Stegostoma tigrinum: one gene and its partners. The protein of the gene in region 2 purifies or fractionates together with the protein of the main gene of each other region. This does not show direct contact. Links are inferred from orthologs where the notes say so. Each region holds a gene or a part of one and is shown on either strand. Other genes may lie near its edges.

Region 1 (7,064 bases), on a different chromosome or scaffold from region 2:
AATTGTTGTATATCACTCACCTGCTTCATGGCCTCCACTCGCTTGTTCAGTGCAGTGGTCTGTTCAATGAGAGCTTCTGCTGCACTGTCATGTTCTTTCAATCGTTCCACCAGCGCTTTTGCATCAGCCAGAACCTTCTCTATAGTACAACTCATTTCTGTAAAAGGAAAGACTGTTTTTCTGGGTCGACACAGAGTGAAGATGGTGGAACACAGCAGGTCAGCAGCATCAGAGGAGCAGGAGAGTCGATGTTTCGGGCCTAGACCCATCATCGGTCCTGATTCCTGGAGTCAGCCTGACCCGCTGTGTTCCTTCAGCTCCACACTATTGATTCTGATTCCGGCATCCGCAGACCTTGCTGTCTGTTTTACTGGGTGCCAGAGTACACGGCTCACAGAACACGAAACAGATTGTATTGGTGTACCATCCTGCAGCAGACAGAAAACATTCAATCCTGTTGCACAACTCATCAGAATGGCTGCTCATCAAGCTCCGTGCTCTCCCAGACCGCTGCAAATCTTCATTTACCACTAGGGGTTGTGCTGGCAAGGTAGGAACCAAACTTGTACAATGCAAGACACCATTAACCACATCTGGGAGCACTGTTCCATTTCAGGAAAGTTATTTGTGTTTGAAACACTGGTCTTAAATAGGATCTTTAAAGACTATTGCACCCTTAAAAGGATCCTCACTGAAGACAACACAGCTCTGTCTCAGTGCCGCACTGGAGCAGTCAGTTTAGGCCATCGGTAAACCCACCAGACTGTAGGTAAGGGTCCGAACAATTAAGCCCTGCTGATAGCAGGAAAAACAGAAAATGCCATGACAAAAACAAATCTGTCAAATGCTTCAGAGAATGACTTTACAAAAAGACATCCTTCAAAGACTAGACTTTGACAGCTGCAGAAATTCTCTTGTGTTTTAATCACACTAATTACCAGCCTAATTAGCCAGTGTTTCAGATAAACTGGGTTGTCATTTCAATAGCTAAGGCATATTCTGTGTTGTTACTGAAATTACAAAGAAACTTTGGCTCACAGACTGCTTTGTAACATCAAATGAAAAATCACAGACCTGAAGCACCAACTATGTTCTGATCTCCCCGAATACAGCCAGCAGCTGAGTATTTTCACTAATTTCTGTATTTACTTCAGGTTTCCAGCATCTGCAGCATTTTTCTGTTGTTGCATTTATAACTAGGCTGTTTTTGACGGCAAATTAGATGTCTTGGGGTCGCAAGAACCTTACTCCCCATTCACACCTACACACACAGGATCAAAGTTTTACTTCTGTGTTGTCGAGTTATAAATAATAACAAGCAATTCAGGTGCAAACACAACATAAGCCCGTTGTAAGCCAATCTGACACGGCACTGAACCCAGGCAAAGGAAAACAAGGCAGACAGTCACTATGTATTGGGGAGGGGTCTCACAGAAGTATGGAAACTGCTACAACATGGAAGCTGGAGGAGGAGAGTGAGGGAGGGTGCAAGGGGAAGGTGGTAGTGAGAGAGGGATGGGGGGAGAGGGATGGGGGGAGAGGGGTGGGGGGAGAGGGGTGGGGGGAGAGGGGTGGGGTGGGGGGAGAGGGGTGGGGGGAGAGGGGTGGGGGGAGAGGGGTGGGGGGAGAGGGGTGGGGGGAGAGGGGTGGGGGGAGAGGGGTGGGGGGAGAGGGGTGGGGGGAGAGGGGTGGGGGGAGAGGGGTGGGGTGGGGGGGTGGGGTGGGGGGGTGGGGGGAGAGGGGTGGGGTGGGGGGGGAGGGGGGGGGGGGAGGGGAGGGGGGGGAGGGGAGGGGGGGGAGGGGGTGGGGGGGAGGGGGGTGGGTGGGGAGGGGGTGGGGGGGAGGTGGGTGGGGAGGGGGTGGGGGGGAGGGGGTGGGGGGGAGGGGGGTGGGGAGGGGGGTGGGGAGGGGGGTGGGGGGGAGGAGGGGGGTGGGGAGGGGGGTGGGGGGGAGGAGGGGGGGGAGGAGGGGGGTGGGGGGGAGGAGGGGGGTGGGGAGGGGGGTGGGGGTGGGGGGGGGGAGTGGGGGGTGGGGGGGGGAGTGGGGGTGGGGGGGGGAGTGGGGGTGGGGGGGGAGTGGGGGTGGGGGGGGAGTGGGGGTGGGGGGGGGGAGTGGGGGGTGGGGGGGGGAGTGGGGGTGGGGGGGGGAGTGGGGGGGAGTGGGGGTGGGGGGGGAGTGGGGGTGGGGGGGGAGTGGGGGTGGGGGGGGAGTGGGGGTGGGGGTGGGGGGGAGTGGGGGTGGGGGTGGGGGGGAGTGGGGGGGGAGTGGGGGTGGGGGGGAGTGGGGGGGGAGGGGGAGTGGGGGGGGGGAGTGGGGGGGAGGGGGAGTGGGGGGGGAGTGGGGGTGGGGGGGAGGGGGAGTGGGGGGGGAGTGGGGGTGGGGGAGGGGGGAGTGGGGGTGGGGGAGGGGGAGGTGGGAGTGGGGGGGGAGTGGGGGAGGGGGGAGTGGGGGTGGGGGAGGGGGGAGTGGGGGTGGGGGTGGGGGAGGGGGGAGTGGGGGTGGGGGAGGGGGGAGTGGGGGTGGGGGAGGGGGAGGTGGGGGAGGGGGGAGTGGGGGTGGGGGAGGGGGAGGTGGGAGTGGGGGTGGGGGTGGGGGAGGTGGGAGTGGGGGTGGGGGAGGTGGGAGTGGGGGTGGGGGAGGTGGGAGGGGGGGTGGGGGAGGTGGGTGGGTGGGGGGGAGAAGTGGGTGGGGGGAGGTGGGGGGGTGGACGGGGGAGGTGGGGGGGGGGAGTGGATGGGGGGGGTGGGGGGGGTGGGTGGGGTGGGGGGGGTGGGGGGGGGTGGGGGGGGTGGGGGGGGTGGGTGGGGTGGGGGGGGTGGGTGGGGTGGGGGCGGATGGTGGGTTGTCCCTGGGAGGTCAGGACCCTATCGACTCCCTGCGCCGCAGCCTTGGAGACCCCTCGCGGCTCCTTCCCGCTCCATATCTCACCGACTCAGAACCGTTGCTGCTGCCGCCGTTTCCATGAACCTCTCGGCGGTCAAAGGCCGGAACCGGAAATGCCCCAACAACCCAGGGGCGGAACCGCGCGTGCGCAACCCCGGCGCGCCGCGCGGTGCACGCAGGGGATTGTAGTTCGCTGCAGTGCGCATGCCTGATGCTCCACGGATTTCACCTCCAGGCTACAGGCGGCGCTGTCCAAAGGAAAACGCATTTGCAACATTCAGGTGCAAATGTGTCAAACAGGAACAACCATGTGGCCAAACCATGTGGCAAAACCAGTGGGAAATCCAACCGGAACCCATTGGGTTAGTCACCAGACATGTGGCTGTTTGTCATTTTGGGGGAACTGTTAGCTTGGAAAATGACTGACAGACAGGAATGCCCATGTCAGGAGTGTTTCAGCCTCTCACACTGATCCCTCAATTATCTTTCTCAAGAAAAGTGATTTCTCACATTGATTCGAATAGACAGATGTTTGATGACCATGCACACATGATGGGCTGAAGGGCCTTCTTCTGTGTCGTAAAAAAACTCTGAGGTCAGACGACACCAGGTTATAGTCCAACAGGTTTATTCGAAATCCCAGGCTTTCCAATTGTAGAGATAGCAGGAACTGCCGATGGTGGAGTATCTGATACAACACGGTGTAGAGCTGGATCAAAGGAGCAGGAAAGCTTGACGTTTTGGGTCGGGACCCTTCTTCAGAAATGGGGGAGGGGAAGGGGGTTTCTGAAATAAATAGGGAGACGGGGGGAGGCGGAGAGAAGATGGATAGAGGGGAAGATCGGTGGAGAGGAGACAGACAGGTCTAAGAGGCAGGGTTAGAGCCAGTGAATGTGAATGTAGGTGAGGAGTTAGGGATGGGATAGGTCAGTCCAGGGAGGACGGATATGTCGGCGGGGGTGCGGGATGAGGTTAGTAGGTAGGGGATGGGGGTGGGGCTTGAGGTGCCTTTGTCAGGTGAAGCCCTGACAGAGGAGCAGTGCACTAAAAGTTTGTGATTTCAAATAAACCTGTTGGACTATAAACTGGTGGCATCTGAATTCTGACTTTGTCCACCCCAGTTGAACACCAACCTCTACATCATAAAAAATGCTACGTGTGGAAGACCTTTGTGATCCTTTTAAGAATTCTGATTTAGTGATCGTGTTTTTTTTTGTTTGACTGTGCACCAATATATCACCAATACTCTTGCTTGCCTTTACACACACTATTTGCCTTGCCCCCACTCTGACCAGTTGTTCACGCTCTTCCCACTTACATTTATGATTCCTCTAACATTATGTTCTATTATAATTTCCAGTTTCCTGGCCGCAGACAACACCTCTTCACCATGGGTGTATAATCCTTACACACAGCTATCCCCATCAGGATGTTCTGGCAGTTGTCTACTACTTCCTTGAAAAGAGGGCTGAATGATTCCTATCCTCCAGCACCTGACTGAGCTCATTTTAAGTCTGAACAACCCCTTTAACTTGTTCAATTTTCTCTCAGTCAAAGGAGTGGCTATGAGGACCTGCATTGGGCCCAGTTGTGCCTATCTCTTTGCAATTTGAGCAACATTCCTTCAGTCCTAATCAGGAACCCTCCCAATGACATCATTAGTGCTGACACTGGTCTGGAATCAGAAAAATTAATTAGCTTTGCTTCCCATTTCCAACCTGGTCTCACCTTCATCTGGTCTATTTTGACTCTTCTTTCCCTGCCCTTAATTCCCATGCTTCCATTTCTGGGGATAGGCTGTCCACCAATATCCATTACAATCCCAGTTACCGTGGCTACACATCTGCAAATCTTATGTCCTGCAAGGACTCCATTCCATTTTCCCAGCATCTCCATCTCCTTTTGCATCTTTTCCAACGATGCCAGATTCCACCTTGTGGTATCCAACATGATATCCTTTTGTGTCAACTGAGAAATTCTGCCCTTTAAGGAATTCCTCCCTCCCCACCCTCATTGTAGCTGACAGACCCCTGAACCATGTGCAATCTGTCTCTCCCATTTTTCCATCAACAATGATAGGATTCCCTTTGTCCTCACTCCCCACCAGTGTGCACATCCAAAGGATCCTTCATTGGCTCTTCTGCCACCTCCAGCAGGATGTTACCACCAACACATCTTCCCCTTCCCTCCAATGTCAGCATTCCACAGGAACAATTCTCTCTATAACAGTCCAAGCACTTCCTTACTGTCCAAACGTACCTGCTCCAGGTGAAGCAGTGTATTGTAGTGTACTATCTAGTGTATTGTATTCACTGCTCACAATGCAGTCTCCTTTACACTGGTGAGACAAAGTGTAGACTGGATGATCACTCTATGGAACCATTCCAATCTGTCGATAGGAAGAACCTTCTTGTTGCTTGTTGTTTCAATGCCATTATCTTGCTCTCTTGCCAACATTTCCATCCTAGACCTGCTGCAGCGTTACAGCAAAGCTCAACGCAAGTGGAGACGCAGCACCTGGTTTTCCTCTGAGGCACTTTACAGCCGCCAGAGCTCAACACAGAGTTCAACAACGTTCCAGCATGTACACTCTTCTCCAGTGACCATAGTTCTGTTACTTTTAAATAGTTATGGAGAAGGGCAAAACTGGCCCACAGGTTCAAATTCTAAATTGGAGCAAGGTGAATTTTGATGGAAAGAGACAGGAGCTTGCAGGGGTTGATTAGAATAGTTTGTTTACAGGTAAAGGGATCTCTGGCGAGTGGGAGGCCTTGAAAAGTGTGATAGGTAGAGTTTTAGGTCTATAAGCTCCTGTGAGGGTGACGGGCAAGGTTGGCAGGAATAGGGAACTCTGGATGACAAGAGATATTGAGCTTTTACCAGAAAGAAAAGGAGGCATGACTCAGGTAAAGGCAGCTGGGATCAAAGGGATCCCTGAAGGTATAGTGGGGATTCAGGAATTTACTGAAGGAGGAAATCAGGAGGGTGAAAAGGGGAGACAGCTTTGGCTGAGAAGGTTAGGGTGAATCCAAAGACATTCTTTAAGTATATAAAAAAAGAGGAATAACTAGAGAGAGAATAAGACCCCTCAAGGACCAAAGTGGACATGTGTGTGTGTGGAACCACAGGGGATGGGTGAGGTCCTAAATGAATATTTCTCCTCTGTGTTTACCGTGGAGAAAGAACATGAAGACTAGGGAACTTGGGGAGGTTAGTGGTGATATATTTGGGACAATCTATATCACAGTACAGGAGGCTTTGGAAGTACTAGAATATACAAAGGTGGATAAATCTCCTGGTCCTGACCAGATATGTCCAAGAACCCTGCAAAAGGCTAGGGAAGGAATTGCGGGATCCCTGGCTGATATAGTTGCATCATTATTAGCCATAAGTGAGGACCCACAAGACTGGAGGGTAGTGAATGTTGTGCCTTTATTCACAAAGAGCTGTAAAGAATAACCTGGGAATTGTAGATAAATAAGCTTAACGTCTGTGGTAGGTAAGTTACCGGAGAAGATTCTGAGGGATAAGACATACATACATTTAGAAAGACAGGTTTGATTAGGAGTAGTCAGCATGGCTTTGTGCATGGGAGTTCAAGCCTCACAAAATATGTTAGAGTTCTTTGATGAAGTGACCAGGAAGCTGATGAGGGCGGGGTAGTAGATGTAGTCTACATGGATTTCAGTAAGGCCTTTGATAAGGTTCCACATGGTAGGCTGCTCTGGAAGGTTAGATCACATTAAATCCAGGGAGAGCTGGCAATTTGGATAGACAAGTGGCTTGATGGTAGGAAACAGAGGATAATAGTGGAAGGATGCTTGTCTGACTGGAGGCTTGTGCCTCAGGAGTCAGTGCTGGGCCCATTTCTGTTTGTTGCCCATATCAATGATTTGGATGAAAATGTACAAGGCATAATTCTTAAGTTTGCGTATGACACTGAAATAGGTGGTATTGTGGACAGTGAGGAAGGTATTCAGTAATTGCAGCAGGATCTTGATCAGCTGGGGAAGTTAGCCGATAAATGGCAAATGGAGTTTAATATAAATAAGTGTGAGGGTGCGGCATTTGGAAAGTCAAATCAAGGTAGGAGTTTCATGGTGAATGGTCGGGCCTTAAAGTGTTTAGTGGAAGAGAGGGACCTTGGAGCTGAGGTGCACAGTTCTCTGAAAGTGGAGTCA
Region 2 (8,009 bases):
TAAATTTGTAACAGTAATGGGCCATGCTAGACTTGCTTAAAGAGGACAAGGCAGTGCCGCTCAGTTTCAGGCTGAAATCAACAGTGGGCTCTAATACTAAGTTTGAACACCGTCCAGAAAGCTAAGTAGAAATGCGGGTGCAAATGCAGCGACAATAAAGGATATTCTATTCCAAAGAACAGCCTCCCACTGGCAGAAACATTGCCCAGGGTACCGTTACTGCCAGAGCTCTGAACTGTTTTAAATTTTCTGGACACACTTCCAGTCACAGCTCACAATATCAGACTGTAGACACAAAGATCCGGTGATGGCAAAACTAAAACATAATAAGGTAATAAGGGAAACCAACGGGCCATCACAACCAGAACTGAAACCTTTTCAAGTCCAGAGAGATCAGGTCAGAGTAGAGTACAGCATAATATTATGCTGCACTCGAGTGATTATCCTGAACAAACACTGCCACCAGATACTGGCTGAACTACACAATCATCATCCAGAGGTCCTGTGGCCAGGATTGAATGCAAACAGTGTTGCTGTGGCAGTGTTCAGAGTGCCATGAAGGACAAAAATAACTCTAAGCAGCTCCCCTACCTTCATGGGGATGGCCAAGTAAACACTGGGCTTGGTTATAAGGTGACTATACAGGTTCTTTCACAAGATCTAATCTTAGTCATTGTAGCCACTCGAAGTGGTTGGCCATGCTTAGAATTCATTCATCAAACACAGGGTCAATGATTGAAAGACTGTGCACATTATTTGCATAACAGTGACTCCCAGAAGTATTGGTCATAGATAATGGCCATCGTTCACTCGCAGGGAATTAGAGTCATTTCCTGAAATTGAATCGACATGCCATCCAGCATCCAATGGTCTGGTAGAAACAGCAGTCCAAACTTTGAGGCCAGGATTAAAGAAACAGCCTACAACTTCGCCGGATATCAAACTTTCCCCATTTCTATTTGATAATCAGACCATCCCTCATGGAACTAGAGGGATAGCTCTAGCAGAGTTGCTAACAGGGAGAAGACTCCAAGCCAGGTTAAATCTGAAATTCCCGGAATGGGGTGGGAGCGTGTGAGAGTGAGTGGAATGGCATCAGGAATGCCAATGCTTGATACATGACTCTGCTAAGTGAGACAGACTGTTTATTTGACGGGAAATAGTTTGGTGTAGGAATCACAGGAATGGGCATGCATTGGTAAGGGGCATGGTCATCGCAAGGACTCAAGTCCAGTGATGTATAAAGTTTAGGTAGGTATGATGGTCTGGAACAAGCATGTGGGCCATATGTAAGGCACAAATTTGCAAACAGGGCCGGGGCAAGTCAACTCAGGCACTTCAGAACTGTCAGAAAGGCTGGCTCTCCCTCTCCATCATGCACTGAGGAGAGCTTGGAATCTTAGGTGGATATGGCAGATGTCATCACCTTGATACCTTTGCCACCTGAGGAAGAGAATGAATATCCTCAGAGACACTCCGTGTACGAGTCAAAACTCCTGGGTATTGCATGTCACCCATATCAGAAGCAGAGTCGGAAGAACCTGACCCAGTGCTAAAATGACCCTGGAGGAGCTACAAGAGAAGGTACTGGCAGGGGTTGGGGGGGGGGGGGGGGGGGGGGGGTGGCGAGGGCGGGTGGGAAGGAGTGTTGTAAATATAATAAGCTGTAAATTAATGATAACAAAGAGTCACGGACAAAAAAGTAAAAAGCAAAAAAAGCAACAAAGCATAGCTGTCAAGGTACTGTGTTTTTTTTGCCATAGGTTATGCAACTTCCATTACACAGATAAACAGGACCACAGTCACCATTCAGGCTATACAGAGACTTGCTTTGCTTTGGCTTTGCACTCAAAAGGTGAATGAATAGATAAAAGATAACCTAAATGCAATAACTATTGTAACAAACAATAAAATGAATTATAAATGCAATTACTAAAATTGAAAGTAAAATGTTAAAAATAAAAACTTGATTCTGGAAATACCGCTGCTGCAATATGTAGTTAAAATGATCAGACAGTTTTACATCCAGGTTTTATAACTGATAAACTAAAAGAAAAAGTCAAGTCAATAATTAGCCTTAAATTAAACAATTTAATTTGTTTTAACTCAATAAAAGCGTTAACACGAAACTAAAATGAAAAATTGTTAAATCGATAACAGGAACGGGATCAAAAAATTCCCTCAACAGAACTGCGAAAGACTGTTCAGAATAATTGATATTTACAATCTAATCAAATAAAAAAAAAGGTGGTTCGTCCTTACCTTGCCTGTTTTGTGGTCGAACCAGATGAGAGCATGGTTTCTGGAAAGCACTTTGCAATCGAATGTGGCGTTATTTTGGGCTGGTCTGCAACGTGCCACCGATCGACCAATTTTGACAGGTTCGTCCAGGTAGACATGGCGTTCCTGAAAAGGGTGCGAATTTGGCCGACAGGTGAAGATGGCTAGTGCTGAAGGCATATGGGACTGGTGACGAGTCTCAGTCAAAGTCAAGAGGGGAAACTCGCCTTGATCCACTTCCTGATCCAGAGCGACAATGTCCGTTCAAAATATATTAGAAATGTAAAACAACCTGCTTTTATATATAAGTGAGAATATTTACACACAACATCCGCAAGCTCTTTCTGTACAAAATGAGAGATTCATCTTTCATCCGCTAACACACCCATCTCAATAAATCAGAAATAACTCGACGCATCTTCTGTCCTTGCCTGAAGATCTGTCCGTTGAGATTAGTCCATTAGGTCGGTGCTTATATACCGTCATCTAGCTTTTACAACGGTAAAAAAAATGAAGACTTATCAGTCTCAGACACTTAAGGACACGGGCACCTGACTTAGATAAAATCGTCGGTGTGCAATCAGAATTAGTGCTTTTTTTTGTCCCTCTTAGCCCGACAAGGTTATCGCCGAATTTGAGTCGGACACATTAAAAGCTGGTCTTACAGTAATAACTCGCACATCGCAAGTCCTCTTGTGGGCAAGGTGTTGGGGGTGGGGGGGGGGGGGGGGGGGAGGCCCTCGACAGTTACTGCGGAAAAAAAGAAATGGAACCGCCACTTTATCTTCTCAAAAGCACGTCCTGTCAGAGCCAAAGGAAGCAGAGTTAACAACTAGGCCTGAGGCCTGACTGAATCCTGATCACGGAGTCCAAAGTCGTGAACTTATGACCCGAAATCAAAACAAATCCTTTCGATCAAAGACCACGATTCAAGGAGCTCCCGATCCACAGCTGAAGGAAGCCACCCCCCCCCCCCTTTGATAAACAACTGATGCTGAAGTAGACAAGCTCGTTCGACACCTGCAGCCGTTACTGTTGTGGGACGAAATAGGAACTATTCTTCGCCTGTGCTTTTGCCCTCCACCGAACCCAAGCTTGTAACACGTCCCCCACAAGTCACTGAAGCCGCCATAGCTTCACCGCATAGGCAATAGCTTGACAGCGGAAGCACCGGCCGCCGTTAATTGACAAGCAACATAACCAATAGCGGCCAAGACAGTAGGCCGCGGACAGCCAATTGAGGTGTGCGCTGGGCGGGCAGCTGAGACAGCCGGTGGGTGTGTTGGGCGGTTGATTGACGCGGAAAATGAACCAAACATAAACAGGTGGGAAACGTGAGCCGTCCAGATTTAGCCAGACAGGCGGAACAGCGACCCGATCCAACCAAAGGTACCGGGTAAATCGGCCGGGAAAATCGGAATAATCGCGGCAATTTTACCGAGATTCAAGTGCATGTTGTCACCGTCATTAATTCTTTCACTGTTGTTAATTAAATTCACTTTTATGTATCACCATCGCTTCATCATGTGTGTCACAAATCTGATAAAGGGTGAAATCATTTCAAAAACTGGCAGTTGGGGAAACCTCAACTCCGTCAAACAAATCCAGGGCGTTTGGTTGACGTAACACGCAGCCGGTTACATCATCACGTCGCCGCCAAAAGCGAGTTAACGTCGTCCCCTCGGTCTGGGTAGTGTTGAGCGGAAAACATGGCTTTTCAAGCTCTGACAGGTGACTGTGATGATCTGGAGGCGTTGTTACAGAGGGTCATTCCCGACAAGGATTACCTGTGTAGTCCTGACAGGTCGCCATCACTGCCATGGGACGGGTTCGCTGCCTGGGTTCACTGTATCTGCGTGGTCGGGTTCGACCTGGAGCTGGGGCAGGCTGTCGAAGTGAGTTTCTGTAAATCCCAGAAATTGTAAATATATGTGTGTTTTAAGGAGAAGAAAGAGGTAATTACTTGCAGTAGGAAGTTGGTATTGGTCGTTGGCGATCAATGGGAATTGCATTTTTAACTTTTGCTTTTGTTTCGATGCGAAGGCCACCGTGTGTCTTGCAACGGAGCCGACGCTGTTCTTTGTGCCACCAAAAGTCAAGGCCATTTCTAAAATAATGCAACTAATTGTCTGTATTTACAATCTTAAATGTTTTGAAGTCAGTTTTTTTGCTATGTGAATCCATAGTGCAACGTTTGTAGATGTGTATCTATCGGAGCGGTTAATTTCGAAACAATTTTAATGAGAAGCGAAACGTATACCCAGTGCCCATTTTCATACTTAACGTGTCAGAAGCAATATCAAAAAGAGCTCCTGAGATAATGGGAACTTCAGATGCTGGAGAATCCGGGGATAACTAATTGTGGAGCTGGATGAACACAGTAAGCCAAGCAGCATCTTAGGAGTACAGAAGCTAAGATGCTGCTTGGCCTGCTGTGTTCATCCAGCTCCATACTTAGTTATCTCCAAAAAGAGCTTTCTGTTTGGTTTAATTAGCCGCTGTGCATAATAATTCTTCCTAAACTGAGATATTTGAGATGGCTGCATTGAAGTGCATAACTTTTAAATTTGATCAGTAGAATGTGTAAAATCTAATCAACGAAAATTTGCTAATTCCAAAAGCACATTGTTTTGAATCTTGAGCAATACAATAGCGCACAAGACATCAACATTTGAAATGTTAAGCCACTTTGTTTTCTTTAATATTAACATAATGAAGAATATTGAAAACTTTTATTTTGTGACTGCTTGGACAAAAAAATCAATTTCGAGTTAACTCTGTTGAGATTTTTAAAGACCTTATTACATTCTATGATCTGACTATAATTAGATGTATTATTCCAACACATTGTAGCCAAAAATGTCACTGTCATCATGTGCTCTGTTTTTCTATTTGAGAAGTCCTCATGAAGCATCGCTTCAATTTCTCTGCATCTGCTTTATTTTGAATCAGTTACACAACATCTGCGATCAACAGCCTGAAGAAGCCTTTTTTGAAAGAAAACAGTTAGTGTCTAAAGAGTTGCAATGTTACTAAATAACAAAAAGCAAGATAAGATTTTTCAATTGAAATGACACACTAACGACTCGTTTTCACATGTTAATTGTATTTTTAGAAAATGTAATTTTAATGCTAATAATATTTTTTAAATGCTGTTTAAAATAACAAGCTATTTTAATTACCATCATTTGCATTTACTGTGCAAGCTGTAAATGAGTCCTTAATGAGTATTGGATGGACGTATTCCCTATATTCAAGAGGGCACCGTGATGCCCAAAGATACTCCGGGCTGGGAGTGGAACTTGGAGAAGCATTTGCTATAATGTTTCAGTTTTCTTTAGGCATGTGTGGTGCCAGAGGCCTTGAGAACTGCAAACATTACGAATGTTCAAAAATGATGTGAAGACATGCCAAACAACTGTAGGTGATTTTGCTGTACTTTAGATGGCTGCTTTGTGATGCCAAATGATGGCTACAGAATGGGTTCAGTTTCACCATGATGGTGGCAAATTCTTGATCTTGAATCTGGTGTGAGATGGGGGTGACCCTTGGGTAAAACCAACCACCAGCCTCTTTCTCATGAGACAGCAGTGTATGGTGTTGTGGGACTATGGCAACTTTCAATTTGATGGGGAAGACTGTAGAATGAATAATTGAAGGAAAAAGCTTTCATAAAGGATAATAAAATCATGAGGGGCATAGGTAGAGTGAATAGCAAAGGTCTTTCTCCCAGGTTGGTGGAGTCCAAACCTGGAGGATGCAGGTTTAAGGTGAGAAAGGGAAAGCTACAAAGGCCTGAGGGGTACGTTTCCATGCAGAGGGTGGAATGAGCTGCCAGAGGCAGGTACTATTACAAAATTTAAAAAGCATCTGGATAGTTATATAAATAGGAAGAATTTAGAGGGATATGGGCCAAATGCTAGCAGTTGGGACTAGGTCGAATTGGGATGTCTGGTCCTCGTAAATAACTTGGACCAAAGGGTCTGTTTCCATGCTCTGTGACACTAAGTGACTTTACTTGGGCAAATGTACTGAATAAATATATTTAATGTGAATTTCCTGAGGTAAAATCCTGTTTAACCAACTTGTTAGATGCTTTCAAGATTTAAGAGAGTTGATGATGATGGCAAGGCAATTACTGTGTATTACATGGACTTTGGAAGGCTTTTGGTATAGTGCAGTGCAACAGAGTTCTAACCCAAGTTATAGCTCATGGAATAAATCAGAAACCAGTAACATGGATAAGATATGGCTGAGTAACAACAAATCAAGAGAAAGATCAGAACGCATAGGATTGGAAGTAAGCCATCAAATCTATTTTGCCATTCAACAAGGTCATGATTAATTTGATAATCCTGAACTCTCCTTCCATGCCCCATAACCCATGATTTCCCTCAATGATTAGAAATCTGTCTACCTCAGGCTTGAATATACTTGATAGTGCAGCCTTGACAGCTTTTTTTATGGTGAAGAATTCTACAGACTCACATTATGAATGTGATTGCATGATGGCTATTAAACATCACAGACACACAATAAGGTATAATATAGTAATTATTTCTTCGTTTGCAATAAATATCTTCTGTGCTGCAATGGCTCTGAATGTCTGTGGATACTTCAATCCACTTAAACAGATATATTTTTGAAAATTCATTCCTGGGATGTGAGCGTCCTAGTTTTGGGCCAACATTTATTACCCATCCCTAGGTGCCCTGGAGAAGCTGATAGTGAGCTGCATTCTTGGACTGCCGCAGCCCATTTCATTCAGTAAGATCTAGAATGCCATTTGGTGTGAATTCCTATATTTTGACCAGCAACAGTTGAAGGAACATCCATATGATTCCGAAATAGTGTGGTGAGTTTGAAGTATATCACCATACCTTAAGTGTTAGTGGGATAAAACCCCTAATGGCATTGTGCCCAAATACTGGCCTACCAGTGCTTGCCCTGTTCATACATGCTGTAAGCCCACTGACTACAGTTTTTATTGGCTAATGAATACATAGCATAATGTAAATGCTGTCAGAAATGTCCTGGACAGCTATAAGCATAATGAACATAGGTGCTGTTAATTCAGTACTAACTACAGAAGCCACATCACTATTTCAACTTAACACATTCTATCTGCTATTAGAAGCACAACTTGTATTGTGGAGCCAGGCTACATAACAGTATTTATTGTACAGTGCACTGCCATGTAGCCTTCCTTTTAGATACGTTATAATAAGGTAAAGTATTTCATAGTGGGAAAGGTGACAGCCGAGTTGTATAATCCCTGGACTGTTAATCCAGAGATCCAAGTATGCTCTGTGGACCTGGGTTTGAATCCTGCTTTGACAGATGGTCGAATTCAATACAAAATATGGAATTAAGAGTTTTTAGTAATGACTATGAATTGATTGTCAGAGAAACGCATTTGCTTCACTAATATCCTTTAGGAAAGGAAACAGCCATCCTTATGTCGCCTGGCCTACATGTGACTCCAGACCCACAACAGTGTGGTTCCCTTGACTGCCCTCTGGGCAATGAGGGATGGGCAATATCTGCTGGTGTAGCCAGTAATGCCCTCATCCTGTGAATGGAAAAAAAAATTTGCTTCATTTTACTATTTCCAGGAGGAAGGTATTGGAACTATTAATACTTATTCTTAATATCAGAAAATTGTTCTTCACTTTCAAAATATGCATTTTTAATGAAGTAACATATTTCGACCTGTTTTACCAATAGAG
Region 3 (7,115 bases), on a different chromosome or scaffold from region 2:
GGGGGGGGAAGTGGGGGGGGGGAGTGGGGGGGGAGTGGGGGGGGGGAGTGGGGGGGGAGTGGGGGGGGGAGTGGGGGGGGGAGTGGGGGGGGGAGTGGGGGGGGAGTGGGGGGGGGGAAGTGGGGGGGGGAAGTGGGGGGGGGAGTGGGGGGGGGGGAGTGGGGGGGGGGAGTGGGGGGGGAAGTGGGGGGGGGGAGTGGGGGGGGGAGTGGGGGGGGGGAGTGGGGGGGGAGTGGGGGTGGGGGGGGAAGTGGGGGTGGGGGGGGAAGTGGGGGTGGGGGGGGGGGAGTAGGGGTGGGGGGGGAGTAGGGGTGGGGGGGGGAAGTGGGGGTGGGGGGGGGGAAGTGGGGGTGGGGGGGGAGGTGGGGGTGGGGGGGGAAGTGGGGGTGGGGGGGGAAGTGGGGGTGGGGGGGGAAGTGGGGGTGGGGGGGGGAAGTGGGGGTGGGGGGGGGAAAAGTGGGGGGGGGGGGAAGTGGGGGTGGGGGGGGGAAAGTGGGGGGGAGAAGTGGGGGGGAGAAGTGGGGGGGAGAAGTGGGGGGGGAAGTGGGGGGGGAAGTGGGGGGGGGAAGTGGGGGGGGAAGTGGGGGGGGAAGTGGGGGGGGAAGTGGGGGGGGGAAGTGGGGGGGGGAGTGGGGGGGGAGTGGGGGTGGGGGGGGGAAGTGGGGGGGAAGTGGGGGTGGGGGGGGAAGTGGGGGTTGGGGGGGAAGTGGGGGTTGGGGGGGAAGTGGGGGTTGGGGGGGTGGGGGGTGGGGGGGGAAGTGGGGGGGGAAGTGGGAGTGAGGGGGGAAGTGGGGGTGGGGGGGGAGTGGGGGTGGGGGGGGAGTGGGGGTGGGGGGGGAGTGGGGGTGGGGGGAGAAGTGGGGGGGGAAGTGGGGGGGGAAGTGGGGGGGGGGAAGTGGGGGGGGAAGTGGGGGGGGAAGTGGGGGGGGGAAGTGGGGGGGGGAAGTGGGGGGGGGAAGTGGGGGGGGGAAGTGGGGGGGAAGTGGGGGGGGGAAGTGGGGGGGGGGAAGTGGGGGGGGAAGTGGGGGGGAAGTGGGGGGGAAGTGGGGGGGGGAAGTGGGGGGGAAGTGGTGGGGGGGGAAGTGGGGGGGGAAGTGGGGGGGGAAGTGGGGGTGGGGGGGGGGAGTGGGGGGTGGGGGGTGGGGGTGGGGGTGGGGGGGGGAGTGGGGGTGGGGGGGGGAGTGGGGTGGAGTGGGGGTGGGGGGGGGAGTGGGGGTGGAGTGGGGGTGGGGGGGGGAGTGGGGGTGGGGGGGAAGTGGGGGTGGGGGGGAAGTGGTGGGGGGTGGGGGGGGGAAGTGGGGGGGGTGGGGTGGGAGTTGGGGGGTAGTGGGGGTGGGGGTGGGGGGGGAAGTGGGGGGTGGGGGTGGGGGGGGAAGTGGGGGGGGGAAGTGGGGGGGGAAGTGGGGGGGGAAGTGGGGGTGGGGGGGGGGAGTGGGGGTGGGGGGGGGAGTGGGGGGTGGGGGGGGGGAAGTGGGGGTGGGGGGGGGAGTGGGGGTGGGGGGGGAAGTGGGGGGGGGGAGTGGGGAGTGGGGGTGGGGGGGGGAGTGGGGGGGGGAGTGGGGGGGGGGAGTGGGGGGGGGAGTGGGGGGGGGAGAGTGGGGGTGGGGGGGGAGTGGGGGGGGAGAGTGGGGGGGGGAGTGGGGGGGGGGGGAGTGGGGGGGGGGAGAGTGGGGGGGGAGAGTGGGGGGGGAGGAGTGGGGGGGGAGAGTGGGGGGGGGGGGAGTGGGGGGGGGAGTGGGGGGGGGAGTGGGGGGGGGGGGGAGTGGGGGGGGGAGTGGGGGGGGGAGTGGGGGGGGGAGTGGGGGGGGGAGTGGGGGTGGGGGGGGAGGGGGGGAGTGGGGGGGGGAGTGGGGGGAGTGGGGGTGGGAGTGGGGGGGAGTGGGGGTGGGAGTGGGGGGAGTGGGGGTGGGAGTGGGGGGGTGGGGGTGGGAGTGGGGGGGTGGGGGTGGGAGTGGGGGGGTGGGGGTGGGAGTGGGGGGGGTGGGGGGGGGAGTGGGGGAGTGGGGGGGTGGGGGGGAGTGGGGGGGTGGGGGGGGGAAGAGGGGGTGGGGGGGAGAGAGGGGGTGGGGGGGGAAGAGGGGGTGGGGGAAGAGGGGGTTGGGGGGGGAAGAGGGGGTGGGGGGGGAAGAGGGGGTGGGGGGGAAGAGGGGGTGGGGGGGGAAGAGGGGGTGGGGGGGAAGAGGGGGAAGTGGGGGTGGGGTGGGGGGGGAAGTGGGGGTGGGGTGGGGGGGGAAGTGGGGGTGGGGTGGGGGGGGAAGTGGGGGGGAAGTGGGGGTGGGGTGGGGGGGTGGGGGGGGGAAGTGGGGGTGGGAAGTGGGGGTGGGAAGTGGGGGTGGGAAGTGGGGGTGGGGTGGGGGGGGGGGAAGTGGGGGTGGGGTGGGGGGGGGGAAGTGGGGGTGGGGGGGGAAGTGGGGGTGGGGGGGGAAGTGGGGGTGGGGGGGGAAGTGGGGGTGGGGGGGGAAGTGGGGGTGGGGGGGGGAGTGGGGGGGAAGTGGGGGTGGGGGGGGGAGTGGGGGGGGGAGTGGGGGTGGGGGGGGGAGTGGGGGTGGGGGTGGGGGGGGGGAGTGGGGGTGGGGGTGGGGGGGGGAGTGGGGGTGGGGGGGGGGAGTGGGGGTGGGGGAGGGGAGTGGGGGTGGGGGGGGGGGAGTGGGGGTGGGGGGGGGAGTGGGGGTGGGGGGGGGAGAAGAGATGGGGGGGGAAGAGGAGGGGGAGGAAAAGAAGGGGGGGGAATGGGGGGGTGGGGAAAGAAGTCGGAGGGGAGCAGGGTAGTTGTCCTTAAGTCGGGGGAACGAAATTGACGGCCCTCAAGGGGGTTATTTCTGCCCTGACAACCACAGCCCTCGCTCCTCTCGCCATTTTTCCCGTACCCATTCCCCAGCATCCCGAACATCCTCCTCCCGCTCTCCCTCTTTGGGTTCTTACCGCCGCGGATGCCTCCGCTGGACCTCCTCCATGTCTCACCGCTCCTATACTGTTCACTTCCGCCTCGAGCCGGAAATCCCCTTCCCGGAAACTCTCCAAGTGACGCATTTGCGGGGCGGAAGCTACGTCGATCCACGTCCAGTGGGGGCGGACGTTGCGACAGACGCCACTAGCGGGGCGGAAGTGGTTCCTTCCATCGTGTGGGGCGGAAATATAGTTGGCTCTGCAATTGCAACGGGATGGAAGTGCATGGCAGTAAAGTTCGCAACCAGATTTTGTTCTTTTCTTTCCCTTAACTTTCTCTTTCTATTGATTGCACCCACCCTTTCAGCTTCATGGCAGGCTGATGGAGAAAGTGAAGTCACATGGGGTCCAGGGTGTGCTAGTTAGATGGATAAAAAACTGGCTGGGCAACAGGAGACAGAGGGTAGTAGTAGAAGGGAGTTTCTCAAATTGGAGGCCTGTGACCAGTGGTGTTCCACAGGGATCTGTGCTGGCACCACTGTTGTTTGTGATATATGTAAATGATTTGGAGGAAGGTGTAGGTGGTCTGATCAGCAGGTTTGCTGATGACACTAAGATTGGTGGAGTAGCAGATCGTGAAGGGGACTGTCAGAGATTACAGCAGAATATAGATAGACTGGAGAGTTGGGCAGATAAATGGCAGATGGGAGTTCAATCCGGGCAAATGCGAGGTGATGCATTTTGGAAGATCAAATTCAAGGGCGAACTATACAGTAAATGGAAAAGTCCTGGGGATAATTGATGAACAGAGAGATCTGGGTGTTCAGGTCCATTGTTTCCTGAAGGTGACAACGCAGGTCAACAGGGTGGTCAAGAAGGCATATGGCATGCTTTCCTTCATTGGACGGGGTATTAAGTACAACAGTTGGCAGGTCACGTTGCAGTTGTATAGGACTTTGGTTCGACCACATTTGGAATACTGTGTACAGTTCTGGTCGCCACATTACCAAAAGGATGTGGATGCTTTGGAGAGGGTGCAGAGGAGGTGCACCAGGATGTTGCCTGGTATGGAGGGTGCTAGCTATGAAGAGAGGTTGAATAGATTAGGATTATTTTCATTAGAAGGACGGAGATTGAGGGGGACCTGATTGAGGTCTACAAAATCATGAGGAGTATGGACAGGGTGGATAGCAAGAAGCTTTTTCCCAGAGTGGGGGACTGCATTACTAGGGGTCATGAGTTCAAATTGAGGGGAGGAAAGTTTCGGGGAGATATGCGTGGAAAGTTCTTTACACAGAGGGTGATGGGCGCCTGGAACACTTTGCCAGCGGAGGTGGTAGTCGCAGACACGTTAGCGTCTTTTAAGATATATTTGGACAGGTACATGGATGGGCAGGGAGCAAATGGACACAGACCGTTAGAAAATAGATGACAGGCTAGACAGAGGATCTTGATCGGCACAGGCTTGGAGGGCCAAAGGGCCTGTTCCTGTGCTGTAGGTTTCTTTGTTTCAGTTCTCCTCCATTGTTTTCATTCCCATACGGATGCAGCAGATACACCAGCATCAAGTGGTTGGACCGAATGGCCTTTTCCTCTATTTGTCTACCATCGTGCATTGCTCTGGCCTCAGTCCGTGTCGGTGCATTGACCACATCCCTCTTCCAGCACTGCACCTCAACAACGAATTATAGAATGGACTGGAGATGATACGAACTGCAGATGCTGGAGAATCCGAGATAACAAGGTGTGGAGCCAGATGAACACAACAGGCCAAGCAGCATCTCAAGAGCAGGAAAGCTTTCCTGCTCCTGAGATGCTGCTTGGCCTGCTGTGTTCATCCGGCTCCACACCTTGTTATCAATAGAATGGGACCAACAGCATTTGGCCATTACTGCACTCAGAACGTTAATTCTATTTCTTACTCCACAGATGCTGCTGAGTTTCTCCATCACTTTGTTTTTATTTCAGAGTTCCAGCATCTGCAGTATTTTACGTTCATTTGACTCATATAGTCTTCCCCATTAAGGATCAATTCCCCAAAGAGTACCATCTCTTTACAAATTCCTGCAGCCCTGTACATTTTTCCTTTTCAGTCAATGATCCCTCCTAAGTGTTTCCACTGAACTGACACCTGTCACCAAAAAATGTGAAACAGCGCATTCCATCCACAGTGTGGAATTTTTTTCTTCTTGTCACTACTACTTCTTTGGTCAATTATCTATGCAAGCGTCAACAATTTATCCCTGTCTACTCCAAACCCTCATGACTGAACATCTTTATCAAATTCTTCTCTAAGTGGAGAACTGTTCTGACCTGTCCAAAATCTGGAATTTTAGTCGATTCTCACTTTGCAAAAGTCAGAAAAAAGTCTCAGAAAGTAGCCACTCAGATCATCTTATTTATACTGTATTTTTGAATTGCATCACTTCCTGCTCTCGCCCTCATTGTCCTAGTTACTCCCTCTCTCAACTTTTTATCCAATTATTTTCCAAAAGCAACCACTGAATTTGTTTCATTCAAGCTTTCGGATAGGGAGACCTCAGTTGCATTGCTTTGTGGTACATTGGCCTTTGGTATATGTCTAGATCCCCCTCGTCCTGTTACCAAAAGTATAATATCCATCAATGCAGTTATAATCCAAAAGATTAGGAATTTGCTATCTTATCAGTCTGATTGGATAATGCTAAGGTGCTTAAAAGACTATGTAATATAATGATTTATCTTCCAGAAAAGTATAAAATAATTTACAAAGCATTATGCAATCATAAATTGACTTGTGTGAATAGGTCAGAGAGAATATTTTTGGCCATTCATGAACTTAAGGTAGATGATGCATCACACATACATATAGAAAATATTAATCTACTCAATTCCAGAGAAATGAGCTAAAGCAGGGAAAAGCTTATATTCACAATGGACAATGACATTTTGAACCAAATCATCTTCTCTTATTCTAGGCTCCAACTCATCAGAAGAAATAGTTTGTCTCTTCCTGATATATATTAATCACCCAGAATTTGATGTACAGGCACAATTTCAAAATTTGCAAATGGTATAAAACTTAGATCTGTCAAGGGGTCAGTTTAAGATTTAAATAGGACATTGACAAGTAGGTGTATGTGTGGTTTCATGACAATGGATCAGAAAGCTGAATTACTTATGGATATATTGAACTTTTAGACAAGTCGTTTTTTCAGGCAAAAACTACAGCCAGTCTTAACTTACAAATGTAACATTTAAGAATGAAATTCACTGGGAAACAAAAAATGTCCTCTGTGAGCACCTCCAATGAAGCGTCAGAGGAGAGACTTCAAAAAAAGGAACAAGATAATGACTTGAAAGGTGATAATTGGATTATGCTGAAAGGACCAAAGGTTTTATCAGCGTAAAGAGGCAGTGACATTTTAAAGCGTGTCAGGTGTGAAACCTTGATTAGAATCAGTGTTTTAGTTTGGAGTCAAACTGGTTTAATTTCTAAAGTAGGAGTTTTTAAAATGCCACATTCACATTGCATAGGCTGTCAGCCAGACACAGAAAGAGAGGGGGAAGAGAGAGAGGTATTCCTGCTCACTGAGCTGGTAAGTTTTTTCTATCCCACTTAATGTTTCTGTATCTCAGTTTGCTGGAGTGGATGGCATCACTTCTGGATTTGCTTTGTAGAGATTGGTATTTGAGGGTCCAGCTCTAAATGTTTGTTAACGGAATTCCAGTTTGAGTGCTAGGCGTCCAGGATTCAAGCACACTAACAAGTTTCAATTCTAATTTGCCACTGTGGGATTTGCGCACTCCGCATTCCCAATTCCATCACCACTACAGCCTAGAAATGTAATCACACATGAAAGCAAGGGACTTGAACATCACAAAATAAAAAAAACAAACAATGAATGCCTAGTTGGTCATGACAAAAGTGTTTTATTCTAAGCAGTATAAGAATCACTTGCATAGAAGGAAATATACATCAAATTTACTAAATGGCATCAGTTGCTCTCCACATTGAATTTAACTTTGTTTTGAGGGATCCATTTGAAAGACAAGACTTTAATGACAAATCTCACACAGAAAACAGTGAAATTGGGAAATAAAGTTCAGATATTTCATAAAAGCAGCATGTCATACACCACCTAAATAGTTTTAAAGAAATACATGACATAAGTTTGAATTGTGCGTATTGTTGAGTCCCACAGACGTGGCACACAAAAAGTAAAAATTCTAAAGGTAAAAACTAGAGA

The links. The genes of interacting proteins can lie anywhere in the genome.
Region 1: the proteins of slmapa (region 2) and fgfr1op2 purify together in Homo sapiens (affinity purification with mass spectrometry; 3 studies listed by BioGRID and IntAct, with this or other methods). This does not show direct contact. The link is inferred for Stegostoma tigrinum from reciprocal best matches to the Homo sapiens genes SLMAP and FGFR1OP2.
Region 3: the proteins of slmapa (region 2) and serine/threonine-protein kinase 3/4 purify together in Homo sapiens (co-immunoprecipitation; 3 studies listed by BioGRID and IntAct, with this or other methods). This does not show direct contact. The link is inferred for Stegostoma tigrinum from reciprocal best matches to the Homo sapiens genes SLMAP and STK4.

Annotation. Positions count from the first base shown.
Region 1 is NC_081371.1:59,158,072-59,165,135, reverse strand, and holds the start of fgfr1op2 (FGFR1 oncogene partner 2 homolog), read right to left. Parts: upstream 3,003-7,064; 5' UTR 2,929-3,002; intron 1,262-2,928; 5' UTR 1,075-1,261; intron 158-1,074; 5' UTR 156-157; coding exon 21-155; intron 1-20. UniProt on the Homo sapiens protein: May be involved in wound healing pathway.
Region 2 is NC_081364.1:53,148,560-53,156,568, forward strand, and holds the start of slmapa (sarcolemma associated protein a), read right to left. Parts: upstream 3,005-8,009; 5' UTR 2,461-3,004; coding exon 2,263-2,460; intron 1-2,262. Other genes in the region: dennd6aa (DENN/MADD domain containing 6Aa), read left to right, coding at 3,990-4,175; transmembrane protein 169-like, read right to left, coding at 5,233-5,267. UniProt on the Homo sapiens protein: Associates with the striatin-interacting phosphatase and kinase (STRIPAK) core complex, forming the extended (SIKE1:SLMAP)STRIPAK complex.
Region 3 is NC_081372.1:9,270,764-9,277,878, forward strand, and holds the start of serine/threonine-protein kinase 3/4, read right to left. Parts: upstream 3,003-7,115; 5' UTR 2,955-3,002; coding exon 2,923-2,954; intron 1-2,922. UniProt on the Homo sapiens protein: Stress-activated, pro-apoptotic kinase which, following caspase-cleavage, enters the nucleus and induces chromatin condensation followed by internucleosomal DNA fragmentation.